Sus scrofa: one gene and its partners. The protein of the gene in region 1 purifies or fractionates together with the protein of each later gene. This does not show direct contact. Links are inferred from orthologs where the notes say so. Each region holds a gene or a part of one and is shown in the gene's direction. Other genes may lie near its edges.

Evidence for each region.
Region 2: the proteins of SP1 (region 1) and PPARG purify together in Homo sapiens (affinity purification with western blotting; 3 studies listed by BioGRID). This does not show direct contact. The link is inferred for Sus scrofa from reciprocal best matches to the Homo sapiens genes SP1 and PPARG.
Region 3: the proteins of SP1 (region 1) and CREBBP purify together in Homo sapiens (affinity purification with western blotting; 5 studies listed by BioGRID, with this or other methods). This does not show direct contact. The link is inferred for Sus scrofa from reciprocal best matches to the Homo sapiens genes SP1 and CREBBP.
Region 4: the proteins of SP1 (region 1) and PRKCD purify together in Homo sapiens (affinity purification with western blotting; 3 studies listed by BioGRID, with this or other methods). This does not show direct contact. The link is inferred for Sus scrofa from reciprocal best matches to the Homo sapiens genes SP1 and PRKCD.
Region 5: the proteins of SP1 (region 1) and CEBPB purify together in Homo sapiens (affinity purification with western blotting; 4 studies listed by BioGRID, with this or other methods). This does not show direct contact. The link is inferred for Sus scrofa from reciprocal best matches to the Homo sapiens genes SP1 and CEBPB.
Region 6: the proteins of SP1 (region 1) and SMARCA4 purify together in Homo sapiens (affinity purification with western blotting; 3 studies listed by BioGRID and IntAct, with this or other methods). This does not show direct contact. The link is inferred for Sus scrofa from reciprocal best matches to the Homo sapiens genes SP1 and SMARCA4.
Region 7: the proteins of SP1 (region 1) and SMAD2 purify together in Homo sapiens (affinity purification with western blotting; 3 studies listed by BioGRID). This does not show direct contact. The link is inferred for Sus scrofa from reciprocal best matches to the Homo sapiens genes SP1 and SMAD2.

Annotation. Positions count from the first base shown.
Region 1 is NC_010447.5:18,622,983-18,627,211, forward strand, and holds part of SP1 (transcription factor Sp1), read left to right. Parts: intron 1-2,287; coding exon 2,288-2,456; intron 2,457-4,229. UniProt on the Homo sapiens protein: Transcription factor that can activate or repress transcription in response to physiological and pathological stimuli.
Region 2 is NC_010455.5:68,431,953-68,434,905, forward strand, and holds the end of PPARG (peroxisome proliferator-activated receptor gamma), read left to right. Parts: intron 1-1,538; coding exon 1,539-1,786; 3' UTR 1,787-1,995; downstream 1,996-2,953. UniProt on the Homo sapiens protein: Nuclear receptor that binds peroxisome proliferators such as hypolipidemic drugs and fatty acids.
Region 3 is NC_010445.4:38,481,971-38,486,199, forward strand, and holds part of CREBBP (CREB-binding protein), read left to right. Parts: intron 1-1,209; coding exon 1,210-1,312; intron 1,313-1,577; coding exon 1,578-1,724; intron 1,725-2,809; coding exon 2,810-2,927; intron 2,928-3,613; coding exon 3,614-3,785; intron 3,786-4,080; coding exon 4,081-4,125; intron 4,126-4,229. UniProt on the Homo sapiens protein: Acetylates histones, giving a specific tag for transcriptional activation. Mediates acetylation of histone H3 at 'Lys-18' and 'Lys-27' (H3K18ac and H3K27ac, respectively).
Region 4 is NC_010455.5:35,298,754-35,303,509, forward strand, and holds the start of PRKCD (protein kinase C delta type), read left to right. Parts: upstream 1-1,425; 5' UTR 1,426-1,708; coding exon 1,709-1,755; intron 1,756-4,756.
Region 5 is NC_010459.5:51,720,899-51,724,668, forward strand, and holds CEBPB (CCAAT/enhancer-binding protein beta), read left to right. Parts: upstream 1-1,734; coding exon 1,735-2,775; downstream 2,776-3,770. UniProt on the Homo sapiens protein: Important transcription factor regulating the expression of genes involved in immune and inflammatory responses. Also plays a significant role in adipogenesis, as well as in the gluconeogenic pathway, liver regeneration, and hematopoiesis.
Region 6 is NC_010444.4:69,806,871-69,810,456, forward strand, and holds the end of SMARCA4 (transcription activator BRG1), read left to right. Parts: coding exon 1-61; intron 62-808; coding exon 809-1,195; coding exon of another isoform or gene 1,196-1,220; 3' UTR 1,221-2,549; downstream 2,550-3,586. UniProt on the Homo sapiens protein: ATPase involved in transcriptional activation and repression of select genes by chromatin remodeling (alteration of DNA-nucleosome topology).
Region 7 is NC_010443.5:97,480,914-97,485,873, reverse strand, and holds the start of SMAD2 (mothers against decapentaplegic homolog 2), read left to right. Parts: upstream 1-1,650; 5' UTR 1,651-1,651; coding exon 1,652-1,887; intron 1,888-4,960. UniProt on the Homo sapiens protein: Receptor-regulated SMAD (R-SMAD) that is an intracellular signal transducer and transcriptional modulator activated by TGF-beta (transforming growth factor) and activin type 1 receptor kinases.

The DNA of each region.
Region 1 (4,229 bases):
GAACTGCTGGAATCTTAAATATGAGTAGAGTCATTGCACCTTGCAAATACTGTTGATAGATTTGAAAGCTTGAGGAGAATGTTGTCATTCTTTGAAAACATGGCTTTTATCTTTTTGTCTAGAATACTGTTGATAGATTTGAAAGCTGTTGTAAATACTGTTGAAAATACTGTAAATACTGTTGATAGATTTGAAAGCTTGAGGAAAATGTTATCTATTCCTTGAAAACATGGCTTTTATCTTTTTATCTAGAATGCTATTTGAAAATATCAAGTGTGACCCATTAGTAATTCATAAAGTCAGTATACTGGGTCATGACCAGCATTAAGGGAAAAAAATGTAGAGTCTAGGAGTTCCCTGATGGCCTAGCAGTTAAGGATGTGACGTTGTCACTGGAGTCTAGAAAATTTCAATATATGCTGCTTAGTGTAAGGGTATGCATTTTTTTTAATGAAACCTTTGTTTCAGTTTTATGTGTATGTACTAGATTACAATGTCAAATGTATTTTACTGTGGGTTACAAGTTTATGAAGTTTGAAAAACACTGCCCTGGAGTTCTCTTTGTGGCTCAGCAGAAACGAATCTGACTAGGTACCATGAGGTTGGGGGTTTGATCCTTGGCCTCGCTCAGTGGGATAATGATCCCGCGTTGCTGTGAGCTGTGGTGTAGGTCACAGACTCGCCTTGGAACCTGCATTGCTGTGGCCTGGTGTAGGCTGGCAGCTCCAGCTCTGATTCGACCCCTAGCCTGGGAACCTCCATATGCTGAGGGTGCAGCCCTAAAAAGCAAAAAAAAAAAAAAAAATTAACCTTGGGAGTTCCCATTGTGGCTCATTGGAAACGAATCTGACTGGTATCCATGAGCACACAGGTTCAATCCCTGGCCTCACTCAGTGGGTTAAGGATCTGGTACTGCCCTGAGCTGTGGTGTAGGTTGCAGACTCAGCTCGGATCTGGCGTTACTGTGGCTGTGGTGTAGGCCAGAGGCTACAACTCCAGTATGACCCCTAGACTGAGAGTCTCCATATGCCATGGGTGTGGCCCTAAAAAGACAAAAAAAGAATTAACTTTGACCTCAGATCTTTCCTTTTTCTCCTGTGTCTAAATTTATATTACACACGTACTATTTCCTGCTGAATAGTCTGCACAATTTTGTGCTCATTTCCAAAATTTTCCCCTTAAAGTCTTTTTCTTATTTTTTTTTTGGCCCTGCCCATGACATGTGGAACTTCCTGGCCAGGGATTGAACCCAAGCCATAGCATTAACAATGCCTAATCTTTAACCACTAGGCCACTAGGGAACTCCCTGAATAAGAGAATAGTGCATAACTTTATCTCATTCTCTTAATGTATGTATAGTAGTCCATTGCATAAGTTTATCATAATTTACTTAACTAGTTCCTCAATGGTGTACATTTTTTATTTTTTCCAGTTTTTTCTTGTAAAACTGTCATCATTTTCACATATCTTTGTGTGACCTAGGAATCTATCCATAAGACATTGCTAATTCAAAGTGAAATTACTTTGAAAATATGCATTTAAATTTGTGATGTTATTGCCAAATAGGCCTTTAAAAAGGTACTAATTGGAGTTCCCATCATGGCTCAGCAATAACGAACCCAACTGGTATCTGTGAGACATGGGTTCGATCCCTGGCCTTGCTCAGTAGGTTAAGCATCTGGCATTACTGTAAGCTACAGTGTAGATTGCAGGTGTGTTTTGGATCTAGTGTGGCTGTGGTTGTGGCATAGGTGGCAGCTGCAGCTCCAATTTGACCCGTACCCCGGGAACTTCCACATGCTGCAGATGCAGCCCTAAAAAAAGGGAAATTAATTAATTAATTAATTAATTAACAATAATTTTTAAAAATGAAGTGAGGGAGTTTCTGCTGTGTGCTGCAGTAGGTTGAGAATCCAACAGCAGCAGCTCAGGCTGCTGTGGAAGCCCAGGTTCAATCCCCAACCTCGCACAGTGGGTTAAACGATCCTGTGGCGTAGGTCACAGCTGTAGCTCATATTTGATCCCTGACCCAGGAACTTCCATATGCCACAGGTATAGCCATGAAAAAAAGAAAACTTGAGTGAGAATGAACATGTTTTCCGTATACTTATTGGCTCTTTGTCTCTTCAGTGCCAGTTCTTTAAATTTCAATTATGAGCAATGTCAGTGGATGTGACTTCAAAGCTTTGAAGAAATAATGCTGTAAAAGTGAAGTGTCGCTGAGATACCTGCAGCTGTGATGACCTCCCCTACTTCCCACCTTGACCCTTTACTCTGTTAATTTCAGGTGATCATGGAGCTCAACTTGGCCTCCATGGGGCTGGTGGTGATGGAATACATGATGACCCAGCAGGTGGAGAGGAAGGAGAGAACAGCCCAGATCCCCAACCTCAAGCTGGTCGGAGGACCCGACGGGAAGCATGTACCTGCCCCTACTGTAAAGATAGTGAAGGAAGGTAGGTTGACCCAGCCAATCTCTTAATAGTATGAAGAAGAAAAATTAATAGATTTGGAAGGAAAAATAGGCTTTTTTTTTTATTTTTTGTCTTTTTTTGCTATTTCTTGGGCCGCTCCCGCGGCATATGGAGGTTCCCAGGCTAGGGGTCGAATCAGAGCTGCAGCCACCGGCCTACGCCAGAGCCACAGCAACGCGGGATCCGAGCCACGTCTGCAACCTACACCACAGCTCACGGCAACGCTGGATCGTTAACCCACTGAGCAAGGGCAGGGATCGAACCCGCAACCTCATAGTTCCTAGTTGGATTCGTTAACCACTGCGCCACGACAGGAACTCCTTCTCTTTTTTTTTTTTTTTTTTTTTTTAAGACTTGGCAGTGTTGCAGAGGAATCAGAGATGGTACAGTACATTTGATTAGATAATATATTGTGTTTTGGTTCCAGCTTTGATTCTTTTCATCAACTCTAAGACTCTGAGCCTTCCTAGGTGCCTGCTTGGTCCTAGAGATATAGAAGTCAGGTGATTGTTACCATATGTTTGTTTTGAGATAGTTTTAACAAAGCAGCTTGTAGAACAACCTTGTAAAGAAAAAGAAACATACCTACTGTAATGATTTTTTACAGTGGCCTTGTGAAAATCATGTTTTCCAATTCTTGTTTTCTCTCAAAATAGATAAAAATCCTTATTCCAGGTGAAAATTCTTCCATCAGGAAATCTAATGTTCTACAGAGTAGAGTTTTGACAAATATCTCATTAGGGTACCAGCTATTCAGTATTATCAATGGAGAGTTCCACGTGACATTCTTTTCCTTCAGGTCACTGATTTTGAGAGTTAAAAGTCACATAGTTATTTAAATGCCTTTGAAAAAAATCTGTTAAAATTTTATCCCATTAAGGAGTTCTCATCATGGCGCAGTGGAAACGAATCCGACTAGGAACCATGAGGTTGCAGATTCGATCCCTGGCCTTGCTCAGAGGGTTAAGGATCCGGTGTTGCTATGAGCTGTGGTGTAGGTCGCAGATGCAGCTCAGATCTGGTGTTGCTGTGGCTGTGGCGTAGGCCGGCAGCTACAGTTCCAAATAGACCCCTAGCCTGGGAACCTCTATACACCGCTGGTTCGGCCCTCAAAAGACAAAAAAAAAGAAACTTAAATCTGCTTATTTAAAAAAAAAAAATTTTGTCCCCTTAAAAATCCCCAAAACGGAGTTCCCTTTGTGGCTCAGTGGTTAACGAATCCAATTAGGAACCATAAGGTTTCAGGTTCGATCCCTGACCTCGCTCAGTGGGTTAAGGATCCGGTGTTGCTGTGAGCTGTGATGTAGGCCAGCAGCTACAGCTCCAATTAGACCCCTGCCCTGGAAACCTCCATATGCCCAGGGTGCAGCCCTAGAAAAGACACAACCACACACAAAATCACAAAAATAAGAAATGTACCAAAACAAAAAACATAATTTGAATTATTTGTAGTTACCCTACATTACAGGAAAAACCTGTATCAAAAGCAGGAAGTACAATGGAGTTTCACTCTAACAAAGCCTAGAGTGGATTTAAATGTTTTAGAAATTAGAAGGAAGCTTTCTGATTTGCACCTAAGTGTGATGTCATTTCCGTTATGGTTCCCCCCCACCCCCACTAATATGTGCTATTAGAACCCTAGAAAAGTCCCTCTTGGAAATCTCCATTGCCCACTAATGGATCACACATGGTACAAATTGATTTGGAAAAACATTTTGCAATTTAAGTTTCTCAAAATTTGCTCCATATAAGGAA
Region 2 (2,953 bases), on another chromosome or scaffold:
TTATTACCAAAACAGGCAAAGGATGGCACAAAAGAAGACGACTCTGGACCACTATCCCAATTTTAAAAACCCTAAATAAAATATATAGCAAATGAATGCAAGGGTATAAGAAAATCTATTAATATAATTCACTACACTAGCTTAAGATAAAACTATATGGTCAACATTTTAGGTAGAAAAACTTGAAAGCATTTGATGAAATGCAACAACATTCCTAACTAAAATTAAAACCTTTAAAACTCTGGGAGAATCTGGAGAAAAACATATCCACCATACTCTAGTAAATACCATACTTGTGGTAAACCATTAGAAGCATTTCCTTCAAGCTTAGGAATAAAATAAGAATGCTTCCCAGTACTGCTACTATTTACCGTATTAGCATTATTAGCCAATGCAGTATGGCAAAAAAAAGAAATGAGAACTATAAACACTAGAAAAAAAGAAATAAATAAAACTTATGAACAAAACAAATAATAAAAATATGATTATTTGCAGATATAATTGTCTATCCAAAAAATAATTTTTTTAACCCATGATACAAACTGTTTGATTTGAGAAGAGTTTAGGAAATTGGAATAGATTCAGTATAATAAAACCTAACTTTTTTCTAAACATCAGCAGGGATACATTAGAAAATGTAATGAAAAAGAAGTATAGAATACTAGAAAGGAAACAAGTAAAAATAAAGAATACTGGAAAGTATTTAAGAAGAAATCTAAAAAGACCTCCATGAAGAAAAAACATTAAAAATTTAAAAGTAATCTAAGCTCACCATTTAAAAGTTCAAATAAGGAAAGTATAAAGAAGAAAGTGAAATCTACCTGCATCCTCACCTGTCGAAAGAGAAGCCTCTGTTAAAACTTGGTCTATCCTTCCAAAAGTATAACAGAATTTGAAAACTATGTCTCATCTCTTTGAAAAATGCATATGCTATGTTAAGCAAAAAGAAGACAAAGTTTATTTTAAAAGTGTGTTGATCCTGCTGTTTAGCACTGGGAACTCTATCTAGTCACTTACGATGGAGCATGATAATGTGAGAAAAAAGAATGTATATGTGTATGTGTGACTAGGTCACCTTGCTGTACAGTAGAAAATTGACACAACACTGTAAACCAGCTAGAATTGAAAAAATTAAAATCATTATAAAAAAAATGAAAGTGTGTTGAAAGTTGTGGTAAGAAAATAAGATTATAAAACATAGACTCATCAGGAAGGAGCAGAAGTTAAAAATGAGATTTCTGAGTGAGTAGAAATAATGCCAGCAGAAGAATCTGCAATCTGGGAAGTGATTGCCATGCCACCACGTTCTGTCATCTGGTCACACAGATTTAGTCCTACGGGAAAAGAATGGTCTTGGAAAAAGCTCTGATAGTCTTGGGTTTTATTCCTTTTTTCTTATATGCAGTTCTTGCCAACTCTCTGCTTACCTCCCCTGCCCCCATCCTATTTTAGAACCAAAACAAAACCAACAAAAAGTCATTGGCCAGAGAATTTTATACCTAAACCTCCTGTTCTGTCTTCCATTTCTGCTCCCCCAGACCGCCCAGGTTTGCTGAATGTGAAGCCCATCGAGGACATTCAAGACAATTTGCTGCAAGCCTTGGAGCTGCAGCTCAAGTTGAACCACCCAGAGTCCTCCCAGCTCTTTGCTAAGCTGCTCCAGAAAATGACAGACCTCAGACAGATTGTGACAGAGCACGTGCAGCTGCTGCAAGTAATAAAGAAGACAGAGACGGACATGAGCCTTCACCCACTCCTACAGGAAATATACAAGGACTTGTACTAGCAAAGAAGTCCACGTTCACCGACAACATTCTCCTTCTTCCAATTGCACTATTATTTTGGGGGAAAAAAAATCTGACACCTAAAAAAAATTACTGTGAAAAAGCGTTTGAAAAAGAAAAGGTTTTAGAATAATAGATCTATTTTATGCATATTGTTTATAAAGATACATTTACAATTTACTTTTAATATTAAAAATTACCACATCATGAACTTGCTGGATGTCTTTGAAGACTGAGTCTGTTGTGTCTCCCATCACCACTCCCCAGGTATTTTTTTCCTTTTATCTCCTCCCTCTTCCTTCCTTTATTTTTCCTTTTTTCTTTCTTACAGTGTGAAACAATGTGAATGGGATTGCTGATCAATTTCCATTTTCAGTCAAGTTTTTTACTCCATTTACAATGTTTCTGAACCTTGTAACTGTTTTAAAAATCACAACTAAGCGAGGAATTTCAGGACTGAAAACTACTCAGAGCATGTGTTTCTTAACCTGGATGGACTAATGTTGACCATGTCCCTAGGCTTACCAAGAATTCAGTCTTCTTCCCCAGCCCCAATCAAGATTTTCACTCACCAACAGCAGCCCTCTAACAGGACACCAAGGCACAGACAGATACCCACTGGAGGGTATTAACTGCTAGATGCTGTAACACAAGTGGTATAAGATGTGGCACCTGCCAAAAAGAACTTATTATTGAATTGAGGGGGGAAAAAAAGATTAATTTTTCTCACAAACAGATTAATATGTACAGTATAATCCTGTGCCAAATGTATGGTTCAGACTCCAAGTGCTCTGAGTTCAAAGTAAAGATTAAGAAGATTGGAAAAGTCTTGAGTGATCATAAATTCATTCAAGTGGGCCTCAAAGGATGCGTTTTACTTGAGATAGGTAGAGAGTTGGAGAGAAGACATTCTAGGAAAGCAAAACCACAGAAACAATAGCAAAAGGAAACAAAAGCAAAGCAAAACATGAGTGAGGGAGAAGGGCCATGTTCTGGTCTCAAGCAGTTTTGCTGTACATCTTCCTGCCTTCCTTCTTGGGACCACTTTGCCCAGGAAGCTCTGACTTTTCCAATCTCAAAGCCTAATTATCCGTTTAGGGGAGGCCAGCCTCCCCAGCAACTAGATGACATGGTCCCTCAAAGCAGGAATCTTCTTGGCACAATTAATA
Region 3 (4,229 bases), on another chromosome or scaffold:
CACCACAGCCTCAGCAACGCCAGATCCAAGCCACGACTGTGACCTACACCACAGCTCACGGCAACACCAGATCCTTAACCCATTGCACAAGGCCAGGGATCGAACCTGCGTCCTCATGGATGCTAGTCAGATTGTTTCCGCTGAGCCACAGTGGGAACTCTGACAGACTGTTTTCTTAATATTTTCTTTAAATTGACAAAGTCCTTTCTTTTCAGCTTGGGCTTAAGCCAGGCAGTTATGTCAGTCAAATTAAGTCAGAGTTGTTGTGCTAGTTTCCTTCTTTTCCTAAAACTATTTTAACCTTAAAAGTGACTCTTAAAAATGACCAGTTTGAAAACAACTCATTGTTGCTTTTTGGAAAACAGTTGCCCTCATGCATCACTTACTCTTGCTAACTGGGCGACTGGGTTGGAGTCCCGGAACCTGGGTACCAGTCTGACCCCACCTCTGCTGATGGCCTGATCGGGACTAGACTGTGCACCTCGCTTTGTCTCAACTTCCTCTTCCTTCACGGTGGATATTGTAGACAAATCGACCTTTTATGTTCTTTGCCTGCACTTAATCTCTATGATTTTATTTTCTGATATGCAAACAAAACCCAAAATATGACAGAAATATGTAAGAGGTCAGTTTACTTGTTTCAATCATGATATTAATGAAGCCAGAATCAAAATGTGAAGCTACAAATGGGTCATTTCTAATTTCTTTTTCCACAGTCATAGAGTACTCATGAGACCAGCTAGCCTCCATAACAATGCCTCGTTTTAGCTGTAAAGTGTCGTGGGAAGGGATCTGCCTGTGAGGTTAACAATTCAATCGCCATTTTTCTGGAACTCCCAGAATTCCTGCCATGGGGTTTATTATTAAAACTCATAAGAATCACTTACTTAAAAAAACAAAGAGTTCCTGTCATGGCGCATCGGAAACGAATCCGACTAGGAACCATGAGGTTGTGGGTTCGATCCCTGGCCTCGCTCAGTGGGTTCAGGATCCGGTGTTGCCGTGAGCTGTGGTGTAGGCCGGCAGCTATAGCGCCGATTAGACCCTTAGCCTGGGAACTTCCATATGCTACGGGTGTGGCCTTAAAAAGACAAAAGACGAAAAAAGAATCACTTATTTATATGTGACTTATTATTTATGTTATCGGGACTTTGATGTGTATATGAGAATTTAGGAGTGTGTTGATTTCTTTTCTTTTTCTCTTTAAAGGAAATAACCCAATGAACATTCCAGCAGGCGGAATAACAACAGATCAGCAGCCACCAAGCTTGATTTCAGAATCAGCTCTTCCAACTTCCCTTGGGGCCACCAAGTAAGACATTTGTTTCAGTTGCCTCCTATCTGAGCGACAGTCAGACATGCAAGTGTGTGAACTCTTGAGTCTTTCTAAATGTGGGGCAGGGGCTATAGTTGGGGCCAGGGAGGGGCCGTCTCCCGTCTCCCTCTGTTCCCTGCTTCCCCCACCCCCCGTCCCCCCGTCCTCCCGTCCTTTCCGTCTTGCCTGTAGAAGAGGTAGTGACGTTGAAAGCCACATGTGGTTGAAGGGCCTGGTCGGCTGAGAGCCCTTCTTCCCTCAGCCCCCTGATGAGCGACGGCGCCACCTCTGGGAACATCGGACCCCTCAGCACTCTACCCTCCGCAGCACCTCCTTCCAGCACTGGCGTTCGGAAAGGCTGGCACGAACACGTCACTCAGGACCTGCGCAGCCATCTAGTACACAAACTGTACGTGGCCACCTCCCGCGTCGTTCACGTGGGATGGAGACATTCTGAGGCCGAGGTGATGGGGCAGTTGAGCGGTTGCGTTGATGTCTGCTTCGGTTCCTTCGTGGTCTCCTGGGCCCCTGGTGATCGTACCCTGGCAGCCAAAGGGAACCACGTGCCTGTTGAGGGGCCGGAGGATCCCACAGACCCTGGGTGGTGTCAGAGCGTCTGCAGCTCTGCCCCGCAGAGGGCCAGACCTGTTTTCTATGCCCCGGCTGCACCAGGGAGCTGGAATTAGCTCAGAAGCATTGCTTTATTTTGTGGCTCAAGATCACAGTTGAGGAGACCCCAGAGAACTGGAGGAATTTGGGCTTCGTCAGTACAAATGGTTTGATAATGCTGTCATGCATGTAACATACAAGAAATTAACAGCTAACTTTCTCCAGCTAGTTAAGTTAAATTGAAGGGGAGATTAATCGACTGGCATTGGAGGGGTTTTTTTCCTTCATTAATTTCATCAAAAAATTTTGGGTTAGAAAAAGGGGGGGGACCACCATATGCCACAGGTGTGGCCCTTAAAGACAGAAAAAAAAATTGCTAATAAATCGTTTAAATATTAGGAATTCAAAATCTTTTTTGGTTTTTTGTCACTGCTCCCGGGGTATATGGAGGTTCCCAGGCTAGGGGTCTAATCAGAGCTGTAGCCACCGGCCTACACCAAAGCCACAGCAACACAGGATCTGGCCTATATCACAGCTCACGGCAACGCCAGATCCTTAACCCACTGAGCGAGGCCAGGGCTCAAACCTGCAACCTCAAGGTTCCTAGTTGGATTCACTTCCGCTGCGCCACAACGGGAACCCCGAAATCATGTTATTCTTGAGATGATGAAGTACTTACTGTTAATAGTAAGATACTGGTGTGTTTGACGTGTAGAGAAGTTAACAGGTCAGGATTCTCTCCAGAGTGACCTCACTGATGTCTTCATATACCGGGCAAGAGGAATTTGGGGATGTCGCTTGGCAGTGTACTGCCACAGAGGCGGTTGGTTGGTTCTCTTTCCATGCCGCTCAGAATGGTAGAAACTGACCCCATTGTCCTTTCAGCGTCCAAGCCATCTTCCCGACCCCTGACCCCGCAGCCCTGAAGGATCGCCGCATGGAGAACCTGGTGGCCTATGCGAAGAAGGTGGAAGGGGACATGTACGAGTCTGCCAACAGCAGGGTAGGTTGCCTTTGGGTCCCGGCACCTGTGGGAGCCGCGGCTGCACCTGTCCAGAAACAGGGACGTCTGTTCGTCTGGGAGACGCGTCACTTGAGGACACTGACCGGGGAGTCTTCTCAGTTAAGACATGAGGTCCCTCCCTGCACAGCTCTTGTCTTGTAACTACCGACTACTGATGTCTCCCCTGCAATAGATAAAACTGCTTTTTCTTTTTTCTTTTCTGTCCTTGGTTGGTTGGTTGGTTTGGCTCCACCCATGGCACAGGGAATTCCCAGGGCAGGGATCAGATCTGAGCCACAGTTGCGACCTAAGCCGCAGCCGTGGCAACACTGGATCCTTTGACCCACTGTGCCAGTTCTGGCGCTGCAGAGACGCCACCCTCCTGGTATGCCATGGCAGGAACTCTGATGAAGTCGTTTTTATCTGTGCATTTACTTGGTGGCGGCCTTGGTTACAGTGCTTGTCCTGTGTCATTGCCGGCGCGAATCCAAGAAGAGGTTCAGCTGTGGACTCACCTGTGATGAGTACCTCGTCCCTGCTGCCTCATACATGCTGTCCCATCCCTGGGTGCTCATGCTCACCTGCGCCAGTGTGCTCAATTGAAACGATCGTCAGTTGGTCAGAACACACGCACGCGCGCAGAGCTTCTTTGTAACGAGTAACTAGTGTGGAGGTTTGCTTTTCAGGATGAGTACTATCACTTATTAGCAGAGAAAATCTACAAGATACAAAAGGAACTAGAAGAAAAACGGAGGTCACGTTTACACAAACAAGGCATCTTGGGGAACCAGCCCGCCTTACCAGCCCCTGGGACGCAGCCCCCTGGCATACCACAGGCCCAGCCCGTGAGACCGCCAAGTAAGGACTGCCTTTCTGGCTCTCCGTCTGCCTCCCCGCTTCTCCTTCTGCATCTGGGATGATTTCTGAGCATGTGGAATCATGTTCCCAGGAAGCCTGTGCTTAGAAAATTGTGGGGGTGGCCGTGGCATGGCCGAGGCCATGGCCTGTGTTTAGAAGTTGAGTCCCCCTGGTGGATGGGCCTCGAAAGGGTGTGCCAGCGTCAGGCTGCTCGGTGCTCTTGCCCCTGTTGACTGGCTTTCTCTGTAAGTTTGCAAGATGATTTTCTGTAATGCTGTTTTTTCTGCCCTTGCAGATGGGCCCATGCCCCTGCCTGTGAACCGCATGCAGGTTTCTCAAGGTACCAAACTATTACTGTCACTCACATTCTGGTTTCACATTCACAGCCACAGAGTCGATGGGTGTGTCCTCTTCCCTCTGTGTTTCTCTGTCGCTCCTTCTCTT
Region 4 (4,756 bases), on another chromosome or scaffold:
ACAAGGCTGGGATGGCTCTCCCTCGAAGGTCCCTGCCAAGGTGCCCAGGAGAACAGGCTTGTGGTGGCTGAGCTGTTGTTTTCACAACAGACTCGGAAGCTTTGGATCATGTCTATGGCTATGTTGAGTAAACAGGTGCAGTGGAATAGCCAGTCGCCAAGGCCTGAGGCTGGAATCAGTGTCCACTTGGTGTAGGCTTGGGGGCTGAGGTATGGGGCCAGGGGAGATAGGAAGAGAATTGCAGGGTCTTTCAGTGTCAGGCCTGGAGAAAGGTCTCATTGTCAAGAGAGGGAACGTGAGGCCCTGAGAGAAACAGTCGCTGACCTGGGGTCTGCTAGTGGACTCAGCTGCCTTTGCCCAGCCCAGTCTCTTCCCAGAGCAGAGAAGAGAGGACTTAAGGATAGGCAGGAGGCAGAAGTGATAACATTGCTGAGTGGGGAGGAAGGGGGAGGGTGAAAACGACCCCCAGTGCCCCCAGGGCACCTCAGAGAGAGAGCCGTTTTACGCACTGATCCAAGGAGGTTTGGGGGCCCCTCTGGCTATAGAACAGCTGGAAATGGGCAGTGGGGCAGATGGGGAGAGGGCCTGGTGTGAAGATGACAGCAATGATAAGGATGATGGTACCAGGTCCTGCACTCAGCACCTCCTCCTAAGCAGGGCAAGATCGCTCCTTTCAGAGATGACGCCAGAGTGCTTTGGCCAAGCTCTCAGGGCACCCGGGGCAGACCAGACCTGAACTAGACCTGTTCAGCCCACACCCAACTCCTGCTCTCCAGTTCCTCTGTTCAGTGCTTGCCATGGGATGGCACACTTCAGTCCTGCCTCTCTCCAGCTTTCTCCTAATCCCTCCAATGGGAGCATCATGCTGGCCCTGCTTACCTTGTGGGGATGGATGACAAAAGCCTTAAATGGCTGTCTCATCTTCTCCCAAATGCAAAGGCTGTTGTCCACAGTCAGGAAAATCATGGGGACTCTAGGAGGAGGTGCAGAGGTGGGGGGCTGAGGCATGGACTGGAGACCCCTCTCTGTGGGGGATGGTGGAGGAGCCAGTCCCTTCCCCAAGCACATGCCTGTGTCTCCCACTGGAGGCCAAATGGACAGTTCTGAGGCTAGAACCGGGAGTCCCTCTCCTCCCCCACCTCTTTCAGAGCTGCTCCTTTGGCTTTGTGGCTTTGGGTGATTTATAGCCTCTGTCTTTGTTGGGTTCTGCCCACTGAGACTTGAGCTCTGTGGAGGTCTTGTGTGGGGTGCCTGCCTGGCTGCTGCACCTGCACCCTCCCCTCCTCCTGTGCCCCAGGCCTGTGGCTGCACCTGTGACCCCTGGCCTCATCCTCAGCCTCCGCTGACTTCCCCTCAGAAGCAGGGGTGGCACCTGGTGATGAGCCTGACCAGCCCACTCCTTCCCTTACATGCTTTGGACTTTGCCCTGGGCCAGGAGGGGCTTTCCCTGCCTCCTTCAGTGGAGAGGCCCAGCCTGCCTGGTGCCCAGCTGCCCTTCCCTCCGCTGTCCCCAGCCACTGTGCCCCAGGGGCTGCAGGAGAAAAAGCTACATTTGGGCTTTCTGGTGCCAGAACTTCATCAGGCACATGTGGGTTCTTCCAGCCTTGTGAGTCTCTCTCTTTGCCTGCCTGGAGCGTCCGTGCCCATGTGTACGTTATGTGCTCGTGGCACTCTGGGTAAACACATCTGGCTGTGCATGAAGGTGTAGATGTCCTGTGTCATCTGTGTGGGCCTCGCTGTCTGTCAACAGAGCTGGTGAGTGGTGGTGTGTTTCTTAGCGTGTGTATTATTGAGATGTCATAGGGGTATGTAGTGCCTATGGTTACAGAGTTTTGTGTGTGCATGTGTGTGTATCCATTTGCAAGCAGGGCTCCCCACATGTCACTGTGGGTTTGGGTCGGTGGGTGTGCCTGTGTGTGCACAAACATGTGGTTATTCTGGGCAAGACCCTGACGTACCCCTCACCCCAGCTCCTCACAGAGGCCCCCTTGTCCTCTGTCTTGCATGAAGGGGCTTTTGTTCCTCCCTCAGGGGTACCTGGAGCCCTCCCCTGCCTGAGCCCATGGCTTCCCTAATCCTAGAGCCGGCTGAGTGACTCAGGCCTGTGCCTGGTGTGGACTGTGCCCCCAAGGAGGTCCTGTACCCCTCACATGCTGGCAGGGGTAAGCATGAGCCAATGACAGGGTCTCATGACCTACCCCTCAGATCCTTCCAGAACCTCTGGCCAGGTGGGCCTATGGCACCCCTGGGCATCTCTCAGATTGAAGCCCTTCCTGACATGCTCCCCTGACACCCACTGACAGGCCCCCCCTGGCCGTCATTCCATCCCAGCCCCTCTTGCTGCCTGAGCAGTGGTCATGTCCCCCTCTGTAATTACACATTTATTTTACTGTCCCCTGTCAGTTTGTGTGTTCCAAGGGCCTGGTGTCTTGTCACTGTGAGTGCCTGTTAGCAGGGCCAAAGGAGGCCTGGGGTTGACCTGGGGCCAGGCTAGGCCTTCAAGACATACAGCCCCCACCCTATCATGTGCAGAAGCGGGCCGCCACAGGCATGGGTTTTCCTGGGGGAAAGGCCAGGTTTTTTCATTGGTTCTGAGGGTATGACAATTACAAAAGGTTCAGTTGTGCTGCCTGGGCCTCACCTCTGATTCTCATCAGATTCCAGTGGGCCAGATCGGCAGCAGTGGAATGTTTGAATGTCCCCAGGACAGTCAGATGTGTGGCCAGAGCTGAGAAGGCTGAGCTACAGGCAGACACACCCAGGTCCTCTGTGTGAGTGTGATCCTGGACACCTGCACAGGGTACCTGCTGGGGGCATGTGAGATAGAGGGGCAGCTGGCTTCCGGGCAAATGGAGGACGGGCTGGACCTTAGAGCAATCTGTAAAGATATGTAAGAGTTCAAGGGGACATTCTGCCTGTGCAAAAGTAGGGGGGTTGAAAGTGAGGCGTGTGCTCACAGAGTAGCCAAGGGTAAGATTTGAGGTGGCGAGCAAGCCAGGGCTAAGCTGAAGTATGGGCTCCTCCTAGGGCAGTGGGAGCCCTGGAGATTCCAGCTGTGAGAAGACTGAGGGGGGAGGTTCTGGTGACAGGTAGAAAGGGTCCTTGGAGAAGGGGAAGAGAGCCCAGGCAGTGGTTGGTCTATGTGGGGTGGGGGAGTAGGGAGGAGTATTGGCTGGGAGATAAGTGCTAGTCCTAGGAGGGGAGCAGGTGTGGGAAACATCCCCTCCTCTGGGACTTGGCCATGACCTGAGACCATGGTTGGTTCTCCTCCCAGGACATGGGGGCTGGGACCCTGGGAAAAGGGCCTTAGAAGGGTCTTGCTATCCCTTCCCCTCCCCCACCTCCTCCTCTTCTTGCTGAGCCCATTTCCTGGGTTGTGAAACCCCTGAGGCCTCCTTAACTTGCTTCCGTCTGGGAAGGCAATGGGGGAAGCGAGCCTCCCAGCCCAGCTGCTACCGCCTGCCTGCCCTGCCAGGCAGCTTCTGCCACACCCAGCCCCCTTGCCCTGTTGTAACCCTGCCAGGACCAGCCCTGCTCCCTCCTTCGATCACACTGCCTCTCACTCTCCTTCCCTCCCCCTGCCTGGGCCTGCTAGGGCCTCTTCCTTTCGTTCATCCCTCAAGACCAGATATGGACTAGACCTTGAGCTCCCCCAGGCATAGTCTGCATCCCTAGAGCACTTAGGCTGATACTGCCCCACTTGCTTTGCTGCCACCACCACCAGCTTTGACTGGCAGCAGATGGTGCCTTGCATGGGCAGATGGCAGGGGCTGCCCTAGGTGGGGCAGGTGTGGGAGAGGGTTGGAGGGTGCCCCACCCCTCCTGTTCAGGGGTCTGTTCAGGGGAGCCAGACCCTTGACCCACCAGCTGATCCTACTCACCCTTGTTTTGTCTGACTGCAGCCTGTCACCTCTTGTTCTCAGCCTGTTCACTCTTGAGTGACAATGACTACGTTCTCATACTCTCCCCTGGAGCCTACTCAGAGCCTCTCCTCTCAGGTCCTGCTTTGCTCCCCTGTTCAGCAAGCACCATTCTGTGGCCTAGGAGGCAGAATCAAACACCAGGGAAGGGCTGGTGGAGGAGACCAGGCCGGATCTGGGGGACAGGGGACCCTCATTGCAGGACCCTGTCCTCAGTATATCCTGTGTACAGAGAGGAGATGGGGGTGTCAGTTTCTGAGGGATATTTTGGCCTGATGCGTTTTATTTTATTTTTTGTCTTTTCTAGGGCCACACCTAGAAAAGGCATATGGAGGTTCCCAGGCTAGGGGTCGAATCAGAGCCACAGCTGCTGGCCTATGCCACAGCCACGGCAATGCCAGATCCGAGCCATGTCTGTGACCTACACCACAGCTCACGGCAACGCCAGATCCTTAACCCACTGAGCGAGGCCAGGGATCCAACCCGCAACCTCATGGTTCCTAGTCAGATTCGTTAACAACTTCGCCACGACAGGAACTCCTTGATGGGTTTTATTTTTAAGCTCTCACAAAATTGTTATCAAACAAGTTATATACGATTGTTGTAGAAAAATGAGAAAATGTGTTCTTGTTCCTAATGGCACCCCTCAGGCTATGTCCCCCAGCCGCCCCCTATACTGGAACACACTCATGGATCTGCAATGTGTATGCTTGTTTTGTGACCCAGGCGTTTCACCTGGCACACTCGGTTCATGTTTACCCTTGTTTGCCCTTGCCCACTGCCCGGGCCTGGATGGGAGCAGATTGCTGCTGTCCTGGAGGAGGTGGCCCACCAGC
Region 5 (3,770 bases), on another chromosome or scaffold:
CCAGCTCAGCAGATAACGCTGAAGGTTGAGCAATGCCCGCCTGCCCGCCAGGGCCAGGGCTGGGGTCAGTGGGCTGGGGGTCAGACCAGGCAGGCTGGGAGCTCCTGCCTGGGCGGTCTGGACCAGGAGTGGCAGAGGGGTTGGCCCAAGGAGCTGCCCAAATGGCCTAGGAATGGTGCTGGAGCCCACTCAGCAGAGAGGGCCTCAGGCCTACCTTCAGATAGATCCAGGTGGGTCACCTTGTTTCCCCATCTCTGAACCAGGGGAGTAAGTGCATTGTCTCCACAGGGTGAAAATGCAAACTCTGGGGCCAGGTCCGCCCACATCACACAGTAGGTGCCTGGGAAAAACAGGGGAGTCCCTTCTCTCTGCATAGCCCCCACTGGGGCCTGGCAGAACTCCTTTCGCACAAGCCTCAGAAACAGGTGTTTTGGCCTTCTGGTGGCAAATAGGTCTGAGAGTGTAGGGACCAGGGCTTTTCTTTGAGAATAGTGGGGGACATGAGGCCATCTGACCTGGGGTGTGCTATGCCCCCTCTGGGCCTCTTTACACCCTGGGAGAGGCCCTTCTCTCTGCTGTGCATCTTAGAGCAGAAAGCCTTATGTTTGGGAGTCTGTGGTGGAGACAATAATACAACTAATAATAAGTTTTGAGACCTTCAAGGATTGAAGGTTAGCTAAGTGACCTGCGCAAGGTGACACAGTAATGTCAGAGCTTAGCACCTACACCCCCTTCTACACTTTGGGTGCCCAAGTGGGAGTGGGGTGGGGCTGGAGAATACCCGGGTGTGGTCTGAGGGGGCGGGCGGCTGTGCTGGGCAGGGCTAGGAGAGGGGCAAGGTCGGGCCCCTGGCAGATGCTCCAGTGGAGCTTGCTCCAGACTTGCACTCCCAAAGCCCCCAACCACAAGTCTTCGCATTTAGGAGAGAAGTCCCTATAGGCGTGAAATCCTCTCCTTCCAAAAGTTGGGGACGAGGGCAAGTTTAGGGGCGGGGCCGGGCCCTGGAAGGGCTTTGGAGATGGGCTACCTCTCCAATAGCCAGAGCAGGGGTTTGGGGTCTCCAGGATCCCGCCTGGGGCGCGTCCCCTCCTTAAGGAGTTGGGGCTGAGAGCCGCTGATCTTGAAGCCACGGCCTCCTCCAGCAGGGGGCGGGCCGCGGCCGCGTTTAGGGTGGGGGAAGGCGATGGCGTCGCCCCCTCCCCGGATTCCCCCCTCCCTTCTAGTACAGCCTCCAGCCCAGAGGGGGCGGTCCGGGGGCGGGTTCGCGCCTCTTCTCGCTTCCAATCCTGAGTCCGAAGGGTGGGGGTGGGCAGGGGGCGTGTGGCGGCCCCCGAAGCCGGAGGACCCCCCAAGGGCGCGCTCCAGATCTTCAGTCAGGTCACGGTGCCCCACCGCCGCCCTGCCGGGGGTCTCGGGCGGCCACAGCGTGTCCTCTGCGTGCCCGGGGAGGGGTTGGGGCGGCCGCCAGGCGTGACGCAGCCGTTGCCATGGCCCGCCTTATAAATAACCGGGCTCTGGAGAAACTTTAGCGAGTCAGAGCCGCGCACGGGACCGGGAAGGGGACCCACCCGAGGGTCCAGCTACCAGCCCCCGCACTAATAGCGGCCAATCCAGCGGAAAAAGCAACAGCAGCAGCAGCGACACAGCAGCGACAGTTCGGAGCCAGGAGGCCGCGCCACCTGCGGGCCGGCCGGAGCGGGCAGCCCCAGGCCCCCTCCCCGGGCACCCGCGTTCATGCAACGCCTGGTGGCCTGGGACCCAGCATGTCTCCCCCTGCCGCCGCCGCCTGCCTTTAAATCCATGGAAGTGGCCAACTTCTACTACGAGGCGGACTGCTTGGCTGCTGCGTACGGCGGCAAGGCGGCCCCCGCGGCGCCCCCCGCGGCCAGACCCGGGCCGCGCCCCCCCGCCGGCGAGCTGGGTAGCATCGGTGACCACGAGCGCGCCATCGACTTCAGCCCATACCTGGAGCCGCTGGGCGCGCCGCAGGCCCCGGCGCCGGCCACGGCCACCGACACCTTCGAGGCGGCTCCGCCCGCGCCCGCCCCCGCGCCCGCCTCCTCCGGGCAGCACCACGACTTCCTCTCCGATCTCTTCTCCGACGACTACGGGGGCAAGAACTGCAAGAAGGCGGCCGAATACGGCTACGTGAGCCTGGGGCGTCTGGGGGCCGCCAAGAACGCGCTGCACCCGGGCTGCTTCGCGCCCCTACACCCGCCGCCCCCGCCGCCGCCGCCGCAGCCGGCCGAGCTCAAGGCGGAGCCGGGCTTCGAGCCCGCGGACTGCAAGCGGAAGGAGGAGGCCGGAGCGCCGGGCGGCGGCGCCGCAGGCATGGCGGCTGGCTTCCCGTATGCGCTGCGCGCCTACCTCGGCTACCAGGCGGTGCCGAGCGGCAGCAGCGGGAGCCTGTCCACATCCTCGTCGTCCAGCCCGCCCGGCACGCCGAGCCCCGCCGACGCCAAGGCGCCCCCAGCCGCCTGCTACGCGGGGGCGGCGCCGGCGCCCTCGCAGGTCAAGAGTAAGACCAAGAAGACCGTGGATAAGCACAGCGACGAGTACAAGATCCGGCGTGAGCGCAACAACATCGCGGTGCGCAAGAGCCGCGACAAGGCCAAGATGCGCAACCTGGAGACGCAGCATAAGGTCCTGGAGCTCACGGCCGAGAACGAGCGGCTCCAGAAGAAGGTGGAGCAGCTGTCGCGCGAGCTCAGCACCCTGCGGAACTTGTTCAAGCAGCTGCCCGAGCCCCTGCTCGCCTCCTCCGGCCACTGCTAGCGCGGCCCCCGCGCGCGTCCCCCTGCCGGCCCGCCGGCCTCCGCGCTGCCGGGCGCGCCGCGGCCACAGTGACTCCGGGAAGCGCCCGCGCTCCCGCCCCCGCCCCCAGTGGCGCCGGCAAAACTTTGGCACTGGGGCACTTGGCAGCGCGGGGAGCTCGTCGGTAATTTTAATATTTTATTATATATATCTATATTTTTGTCCAAACCAACCGCACATGCAGATGAGGCGCCCGCCCGTGGTGTTATTTAAAGAAGAAATGTCTATGTGTACAGATGAATGATAAACTCTGCCTCTCCTCCTGCCCCCTCTCCAGGCGCCGGCGGGCGGGCCGGTTTCGAAGTTGATGCAATCGGTTTAAACATGGCTGAACGCGTGTGTACACGGGACTGACGCAACCCACGTGTAACTGTCAGCCGGGCCCTGAGTAATCGCTTAAAGATGTTCCTACGGGGTTGTTTCTGTTGCTGTTGTTTTTGTTTTTGTTGTTGTTTTTTTGGTCTTTTTTTGTATTATAAAAAATAATCTATTTCTATGAGAAAAGAGGCATCTGTATATTTGGGAATCTTTTCCGTTCGAGCATTAAGAACACTTTTAATAAACTTTTTTTTTTTTGAGAATGGTTAAAAAGCCTTTTGGGGGCAGTAGTTGATTTTTGATTTTTTTCCTTTTATTTTGGATTTATGATTTTATATTTGCTTTTCTGGTATGCAGGGGGGAGGTTGTTGTGTGTATGAGTTGCTCTTATTTTTGGCTTTTTAGGTGGTTGGGTGGGGGTGTTGCAGCTGCTTTTTCTCCTCTGATTCTCCCCCCAGGGCCTGTGCTTGGAGATGGGGGTACCAGGCCTGGGGTGGGGGAGGGGCAGAGGAGTGCTAGGTCAGGCTTTCAGGATGACTCAGTGCCCCTGGGTGCTGGGAGGAGTGTTTGGGAACCCTGCTTGGTGAGGGGGTCCAGGGTTTCTGGCTGGCCCTGAGTGCTAGGCTTGGGTTTCGAGG
Region 6 (3,586 bases), on another chromosome or scaffold:
GGAGAAGGACGTGATGCTGCTGTGCCAGAATGCGCAGACCTTCAACCTGGAGGGGTCTCTGGTGAGCAGCACCCCTGCCACACCCGCAGTGAATCAGCCCTGTAATTGGGGTATCCCACTCGTTACAGAAGCAATATGTGTTCATTACTGAAAAAAAAAGGCAGGAGATAAAGACAAGCAAGGTAGAGGAAATAGGAGTTCCCTGGTAGTGCAGCAGATTAAGGATCCAATGTTGTCACTGCAGTGGCCTGGGTTCAGTCCCTGGCCCAGGAACTTCCACATGCTGCGGGTGCAGCCAAAAAATAAAAACAAAAAATAGTGGAAACAGACTCAGTCCTGTCCATGCAGGAGAACCCTGAGAACAGCCCATGTACATCTTGGATCTGTTTGGATTCACTAGGGGACTCTTGAAAGTAAGCCTGCACTGTCTCCTGTCCTGTGATTAAGTCCACGTGCACACACAGAGCCCAGACTATGAGTTCTCCTGAGTGTTGGGATGGGTACCTTCTGGAAGAGATTTGCTAGTCATAAAATTGGGGAAAACTCTGGCTTTAACGAGAGGCATGCATTTCTCACATTGCTGCAGACCCTCTCAGAGCCTTTAAGAGGATGCTCACCGATTCATCAAGGGAGGGAGGAACCCATGGCTGTTTCTGAATGACATGCCTGACCTTTTGCCTGGAACCTTTTCATCCTGGTGGGCTCGGGCTGGGAAAGGATTGTCCAGCTGTCTTTCTGCCACGGCCAAGTGGGCAGGCAGCTCCCTTGCATTGGGCCATGCACATGAGCCCTGTGTATCTCCACCCAGATCTACGAAGACTCCATTGTCCTGCAGTCGGTCTTCACCAGTGTGCGGCAGAAAATCGAGAAGGAGGATGACAGTGAAGGGGAGGAGAGCGAGGAGGAGGAGGAGGGCGAGGAGGAAGGCTCGGAGTCGGAGTGTGAGTCCCAGGTGGGGGTGGGTGGAGCTGCACTGGAGGGAGAGGACCTGAGGCCCCATTCCTCCACCATCTGCACGGCTCCAGGGGGACCCTCCTCTCCCGAGCTCACATCTTCTTTCTTCTGGTCCCACCCCAGCTCGCTCGGTCAAAGTGAAGATCAAGCTTGGCCGGAAAGAGAAGGCCCAGGATCGGCTCAAGGGGGGCCGGCGGCGGCCGAGCCGTGGGTCCAGGGCCAAGCCGGTGGTGAGCGATGATGACAGTGAGGAGGAGCAGGAGGAGGTAAGGCCCTCAGGACCCAGGCCAGGCGGGTTACTGGACATCCATGCCCATGCAGGTGCCAGACTCCATTCTGTGGTCCCGTGAGGGTAGATGCTCTGGTGCCTCGGCTTCTCACATGTAAGGAAGCTGAGGCTCAATACTAAATGCCATGTGACTCAAGCCCTGGTCCACGTGACCCTCAAACCAGTGCGCTTAGAGCCAGTGGGCATCTGGGGTTTAGGCAGGTCATCCATCCGGTTCCCGCTGCCCAGAATGTCTGGGCTGCCATGCTAAGGCCGACAGGGACAGTCTTTATCATGTTGGGGGGACGGGAGGCACTGGGAATGGCGATGCCATCAGACAGGCCCCAGCGCCCTCAGCACAGGGCCCTCCACAGCCAAGGCTGCCATAGTGTCACCACTGCATGTGACACAAACCATGCAGCCCAGGCCTCTGCTTGTGGCTCTGTCCTGGCCTCTACAAGGACTTCTAAACAATGGTAGTGGGTTAAAACATACACAAAAAACAAAAAACCCGTAACCCAAAGTCATAAAAACAGAACGGAGCAGACACTGAACATGGGCTGTGAGCGGTTCCTCAGTGGGGGACCCCCTGGGCCTGGGCTGTGGTCCCCACACACCAAGATGAGCTTCGGGAGCGTCAAGCCCACAATGGACAGTTTCATGGGTGTGAGCGGCAGGAGCAGACTCACTCACTGGGTTTAACTAAGCTTTGTTTCTAGCTGCAGCCCAGTGCCTGGCCCTTCCGTTCATGGGACCTGGGCGATTCACTTCACTTCTGAGCCTGTCTCCACAGCTGTGAAGCAGGGACGACCCAGGGCCTAGCTCCCAGCAAAGCACCATTTCATTGTCATTATTTTTCTTGTCTAACTGCAGTAGCAGCAAAACCAGGTGCCCCAGGATAAATCTGACTGTCAATGTACATGGTCTTATAGGGCCATTAATGACATTGTAAACGTGGAGAGGGGTGGCCCTGTTTCTGGAGAGGCGTGTCTTGGCTGTAAAGCTCCTCATCTGCCCAGTCAGGATCCAGCAGGGTGTTCTGTGGCCCTCGCCAGGCTGTTTAAAATGTTCAGACAGAGGAGTTCCCGTTGTGGCGCAGTGGTTAACGAATCCGACTAGGAACCATGAGGTTGCAGGTTCGGTCCCTGCCCTTGCTCAGTGGGTTAACAATCCGGCGTTGCCGTGAGCTGTGGTGTAGGTTGCAGACGCGGCTCGGATCCTGCGTTGCTGTGGCTCTGGCGTAGGCCGGTGGCTACAGCTCCGATTCGACCCCTGGCCTGGGAATCTCCATATGCTGTGGGAGTGGCCCAAAGAAATAGCAAAAAGACCAAAAAAAAAAGTTCAGACAGAAAAGCAAAGATCTTATGTAGTCACGAATGGCCAAGGTAGCTGTAAAGCCACAGGTCAGGAGCACAGGGACAGACAGACCACGATGGTACGGAGCTGGGAGGGCCCAGCAAGCTTCCCAGGTCCCAAAGAGGAGTGGGTATGGGCACTGGGGCAGCCCCTGGGAGAAAAATGATGTTGGGATTTGGCCATGGCAGCACCCACAGCCTCATGGAGCTCGTGTGTATCGTTCACTGGGGAAAGCAGTTGTACCACCTATGTTGGTGACTGGGTGTGTTTAAAGCCGGGATTGGTCCCAGTCGGGGGGCTTGCTCCTGTGGGCAGGACTGACTCCTACTCTTTCCTGTCCCTCTTTCAGGACCGCTCAGGAAGTGGCAGTGAGGAAGACTGAGTCCCGACATTCCAGAGTCTCGCCCCCAAGCCCCTCGTACCAGAGCCAAGCCGGCTTAGCCCTTAGCAGTAACGGCTAGCAGCAGATGTAGTTTCAGACTTGAGATAAAACTGTATAAACGAAAATCTTCCATATTTATACGGCAGAGAAGATGTAGGACTGTTTGTGTCTGGCCCTGTCCTGGCATCAGTAGTGTTTGTAACAGCATTAGCTGTTTAAAACAAGAAAAAAAATTATGAATTGGGGAACACACAACACCTGTTTTTCTTTTCCTTCCCTGGCAGTACTGTTTTCGGCCACAGTTTGGAATCACTGTAGTTTAAGCTGTGGATGCATGTGTGTAGCCGTCCACTCCTCGTACTGTATTTTATTGGACAGGTCAGACTCGCCGGGGCCTGGGGTCCGCAGGCCCGGCAGGGGTATGTCAGTGTCACTGGATGTCAAACAGTAATAAATTAAACCGACAGCAAAGGTCTTGCCTTCTGGTGCACTCATTCCCGGCTCCTGGCATGGTCTGCATGGGGCCTCGCCATGTCCAGGACCCTGTCCTCCCATCATGAGACCCCAGGGGGCGCCTTTCACAGGGGAGGAATCCAAGGCCTCACACCATCTGACCGCAAGCCTGG
Region 7 (4,960 bases), on another chromosome or scaffold:
AGCACTTGGTGAGGGCCTGTGGGGTTGAGTAGTTGAGGTCATAGCCTTGCTCTGGGGAACCCTTTGAATTCTAATATATCATGTCAGCCTACATGTTGCTATTAAATGTCTTAAAAGTTTAGGCTGATTTCTCCTTACCCTCATCATGGTGGGATCATTCCTTCTTGGTTGCTCCACTAGGAAAGAGACCATCTGTGGGCCCCTCTCCTATCAAAATTCAACACTTTCTGGAATTTAGTTACATTTAGCTTATTACTTTGCATCTTTAACTTTTAGACGGGTTCAGAAAAACCATGATTTTATAGTTTATCTGTCTTGTTTTGTTTGTTAGGGTGAAAGTGATGGTCTCTTGTGATTTGCTACATCCTGTTTAGAAGTGGAACTCCTTCATGGAATACTTTCTGATATATAGTCTGGCAAATACCTGATAAAATTTATCTGACCTCACTCAGTTTGATTTTCTACAGTATTTCTCAGAGCTGCATTTCTAAATCTTTTCCATTCTTCTCAAATCTAAACTCTCTAGTTCTGCCCTCAGTGGTAAATGTTCTTATCTCTTACTTTGAGATTAAAGCTGTTGACATTAAATTTTAATTGAGGGACTTGGTAGAGAGAGTAGGAAGAATTTATGGTAGGTGCTTAGAAAACTAGGCAGATGAAAAACTGACATAATTAGCTCTGGAGAAAAAGAAAGAGATGTACAAAAAAGGAAACAGGATTATATAGTAGTTTACTACTAATCTCTTCAGGTATAAAACTACAGTTGGAAGATAATTATTTTCAGGGCTGGAGGAAAAGCAAGTGATTGTGGTGTAAATCTTCATTTTCAATAGGTATATTTAACTTGATACTTCAAGGGGGACCATTGCTTAGGTATAAATAGCAAGAGTAAAGGTTCAAAGATTTTAAAGAGTTGTACCTTGGTGTGGGGAGAAGAGCTTTATTTGACTTTATCCACTATGTGGGTTGTTACTTAGATAGAGAAAAAAATATTTTTAAAATGAAGCTTAATTAAAAGTCTTCTCAAAGTGAACCACATCTCTTCCTCACAGTCTCTCGTTACCTTTACTTCTGGTTGTTTACTTCACACTTGATGCCTTTCTCCTTTCCCCTTGTTATGACCTTAGACTTTACTTTATGATAGTTATGAAAGTTTAAAACTTCGGGGAGATTGGCCCTGTAAATTAAAAAAATGTATTTTTGTTAAGTGTCTTGAGAATAGACTGAAATTCTAAAAACATAAGGAAAACTTTGTTTTAGTGAAAATATTTTATTGCTACTATTAAAAGGTAAAAATATAGTAGTATGGGTAGTGATTAATGGTCCAGTGTTGATAAAGATAAAAAAATTTTCTGTCTTGCAAAATTGTTCTCTTGGCCCACTTATCATTGTCTTGTTTTTAGAAGGATTTGTTTCCACAGTTCATTTAAATTCGTGAAGACTTGTCATGGGTGAAAAAGATAACTTCTGAAAGTCTGTTCTGAAAGTAATAATTTGAATTTCTTATCTCATTTTGTAATTTGCTTTTGCTCCTGTGTTGAAAGCAGTAGTTGATGGTAAAGTTAGCCTCTCAACTGTCCTTTCCATATCTTTTCTAGGTTAGATTAAGGAGGATATTTTCTTAGTGTGGACCGCTGCCTTTGGTAAGAACATGTCGTCCATCTTGCCATTCACTCCGCCAGTTGTGAAGAGACTGCTGGGATGGAAGAAGTCAGCTGGTGGATCTGGAGGAGCAGGTGGAGGAGAGCAGAATGGACAGGAAGAGAAGTGGTGTGAGAAAGCAGTTAAAAGTTTGGTGAAGAAGCTAAAGAAAACAGGACGATTAGATGAGCTTGAGAAAGCCATCACCACTCAAAATTGTAATACTAAATGTGTTACCATACCAAGGTAAGTGTGGTTAGGTCAGAAACTTGATGGCCATCCTGTTGAAAATTGCTTAAAGGAATCTGCAGGAAAGTTACTGAAATTTTGTTACATGCAATTCACCTGTCAATAGTGATTATTAAAATATGAAATCTATTTCTAACCTGTCATATTAATTTTGTTGGACACGATAAGACTTGTTTATTTTATAAATCCTTTTCTTGAACAGCGAGAAAGTTTAATCAAGCAAAATAAAATACTTAGATTTTACTAAGGTTTATCTTCACTGTCTTCATTTGCCTTCATTGCCTAAATGCTTCATTGTATGTTATCCTAATTTTTGTGATTGAGTGACATTTGAATAAAGATTCAAAGATTTTTGTATCACTAGTGCAGTAGTGACTGACAGTTTCCTGCTCCTCTGGTCAAAACTTCAGTAAGGAGTTAACAGAGGCTGCTAACATTGTGACGAGTTATGGCTTTTGTTTGAGTTGCAGCATTATTTCTAAGAAAGAACAGTATATGAGGCAGCTTCTTAGGTGCCATAGTCAGATCCTGTCTTGAAGACCTGCCTCGTATAAGAGAAGGACCTGTTACCTAAGAGGTTGAAGTTTTATTAGTATAAATTTAATCATTTACAGATCATTACCACTGTCAGAAATTCTGGTTTTTCAAATAGCATAACGAGTAGTTTTTAAGTGTTGTAGTGTACACTACTGTAGTTGTGCACATTGCAGGGTTATGGGGAGTGTGAGTTTATAGCATTTTCTAAAATGATTGTTTGCAGTGCCATACACATAGGCTAGCATATGGCACATGAAACCATTCTACTTGACATGTTTCTAATGAGTTTTGGGAAATAACTCTGGATGCTTGTGATAATAGCTCCCAGTGACACCAGCCTTTCTTTCTTGCAGATACTAACTAGAATGTTTCCTGCCTTGTTTTGTTTGGTAATAAAACAAAATTACCGATTACTTTCCATTTCTTTTACCTTGTTTCATGTATTTCTTTTTTTTTTTTAACTTTTATTTTTATTTTTTTGCTTTTTAGGGCCACACCCATGGCATATAGAGGTTCCCAGGCTAGGGATCGAATTGAAGCTGTAGCCACTGGCCTGTGTCACAGCCACAGCAACGCCGGATCTGAGCCGCATCTGCAACCTACACCACAGCTCACAGCAATGCTGGATCCTTAACCCACTGAGCGAGGTCAGGGATCAAAACTATATCCTCATGGATGCTAGTCAGATTCGTTTCCACTGAGCCACAATGGGAACTCCTTGTTTCAGGTATTTCTTAAGTAAGGGTCACTTTTCTTGGTTTATTCTTTTGTTTTAGAAATGCTTATGGATGCCTTCCGTGTGAAAGGCACTGGTTTTAGGCATATGGGACACAGCATGGATGAAATGCGGAGTTCCTGCCCTCCTGAGGGACAGATACACACTGTAAACAAGTGGACAAATTAATGTAATTTGAGATGGTAATGAGGACAAAAGACAGTGACTGAAGGATTAAAAAGCTGCTTTGGATTGGATTGTGACACTTAAGCTAAACTTGGAGAAGTAGCAGGTAGCTGAAGGAAGTCTTCTAGGCAGAGGAAGGGGCAAGCATACAGACGCCAGGGTGGGACATAGCTTGTCGTATTGGAGACTTAATGGATCGAAGTAGAGATGCAGTAACACCAAATGAGCACAAGGCTTGGGAGGAGTCAGATTAGATGGGGCATCAGGAGGCGGTTTGGATTTTAGTCCCAGTACAATAGGAAGCAAATGAAGATTTTTAAAGTGGATTTTTAAATTTAAGTAAATTTTAGAAGAAATTTTTATCTTTATATCTTAGATCACTCTGGCTGCTGGAGACAAGAGGGTGTGGATAGTGGAGTGTGTGGGCATGTGTGTTATAGACTGGTGTGGTATAGTGGTGTGGACGCAGAGGAATGAGGCGACTGTTAAAGTAATCCAGAATGGAGATGCCAGAGGCTAGGCTGGGCTGGCGAGGTGGTGGTAACTCGGGAAGTGGATGAATCTGGTTGGAAGCTGAACTGACAGGATTTGCTAATGAATTGGCTAGGAATAAGTCAGGCCATATTTGTTGATTTTTCATTGTATAGTGTCTGATGTTTCAGTTCAGTAAACATTTAGAAACATAAAAGTCTTTGCTCTTGAGTTGCTTACTTTCTAGAAAGGAAGATAAACTTTAAAAAAGAAGAAAGATAATTTCATAACATCCAGGGGTTGTTCTGAAAGATGTATGCTTAGGGACCTATGTCCAAAGAGGGGGAGCCTTCCCTACTCCATGCTGTGTGGAAAGTTTCCTGCTGGAGAAAGATTGATGCCTGGGTTGAGTGGATGTCAAGGAGGACTTTTCAGGAGAAGCTGAATCCCTCCAGAGAGGCTCTGTGGTATTGAGGGTGGCAGTTGGCCAGAACTGGTGAAGGGTGTCCTGGGAGTTGGAGGTGGCATATGGCAGGAGCGAGAGGCTGTGTGGGTGTGAGGAGCCCCCACATCCTGCACTTAGGGGTTCACCCTGAACCCCAGCGTGGTTGGGTGAGAGTGGAGTCCTCGGTGTTAGGTAAAGAAGACTCCTGAGTTGGGTTAGTTTACATACAGCATCTGACTGCAGTGAGGAAATGGTTGTGAGCCTGTCAAGAGTAGAGGCAGGGAGACTGGTTAGTATGTGGTCTCCCTCCTCAAAGGGTGTCATGTGATTCCTGGGGGACATGGAGCCGTGTTTTTGCACAGCTTCATCTAAGACTCCAGCTGCCAGTGCAGTGAGGTCATTGAAGGAACAGGGCTGAGGGTATAACCATGCAGTCCTGTCTTTTAAGAAGATGCAGTAGGCAGCCACCTCATGACGTGGATATTTGTGGATGTGGATATTTAAACTGTGGAAGTCACCTTAGTCAAAATTCTTTTCCTTATTTTTCCATTATTCATTTTACAGTCTATTTTTTAGAGGTTTTTTTTTAAATATTCTAATGCTTTTTCATCATTTAAAATTTATTTTCCTACACTTTTTCATTCTTTAAAGATTTTTTTTCCTGCACTTTTACCTGAGTAATGAAAGTGAATTGGTTATCAACCATTATCTTCTTC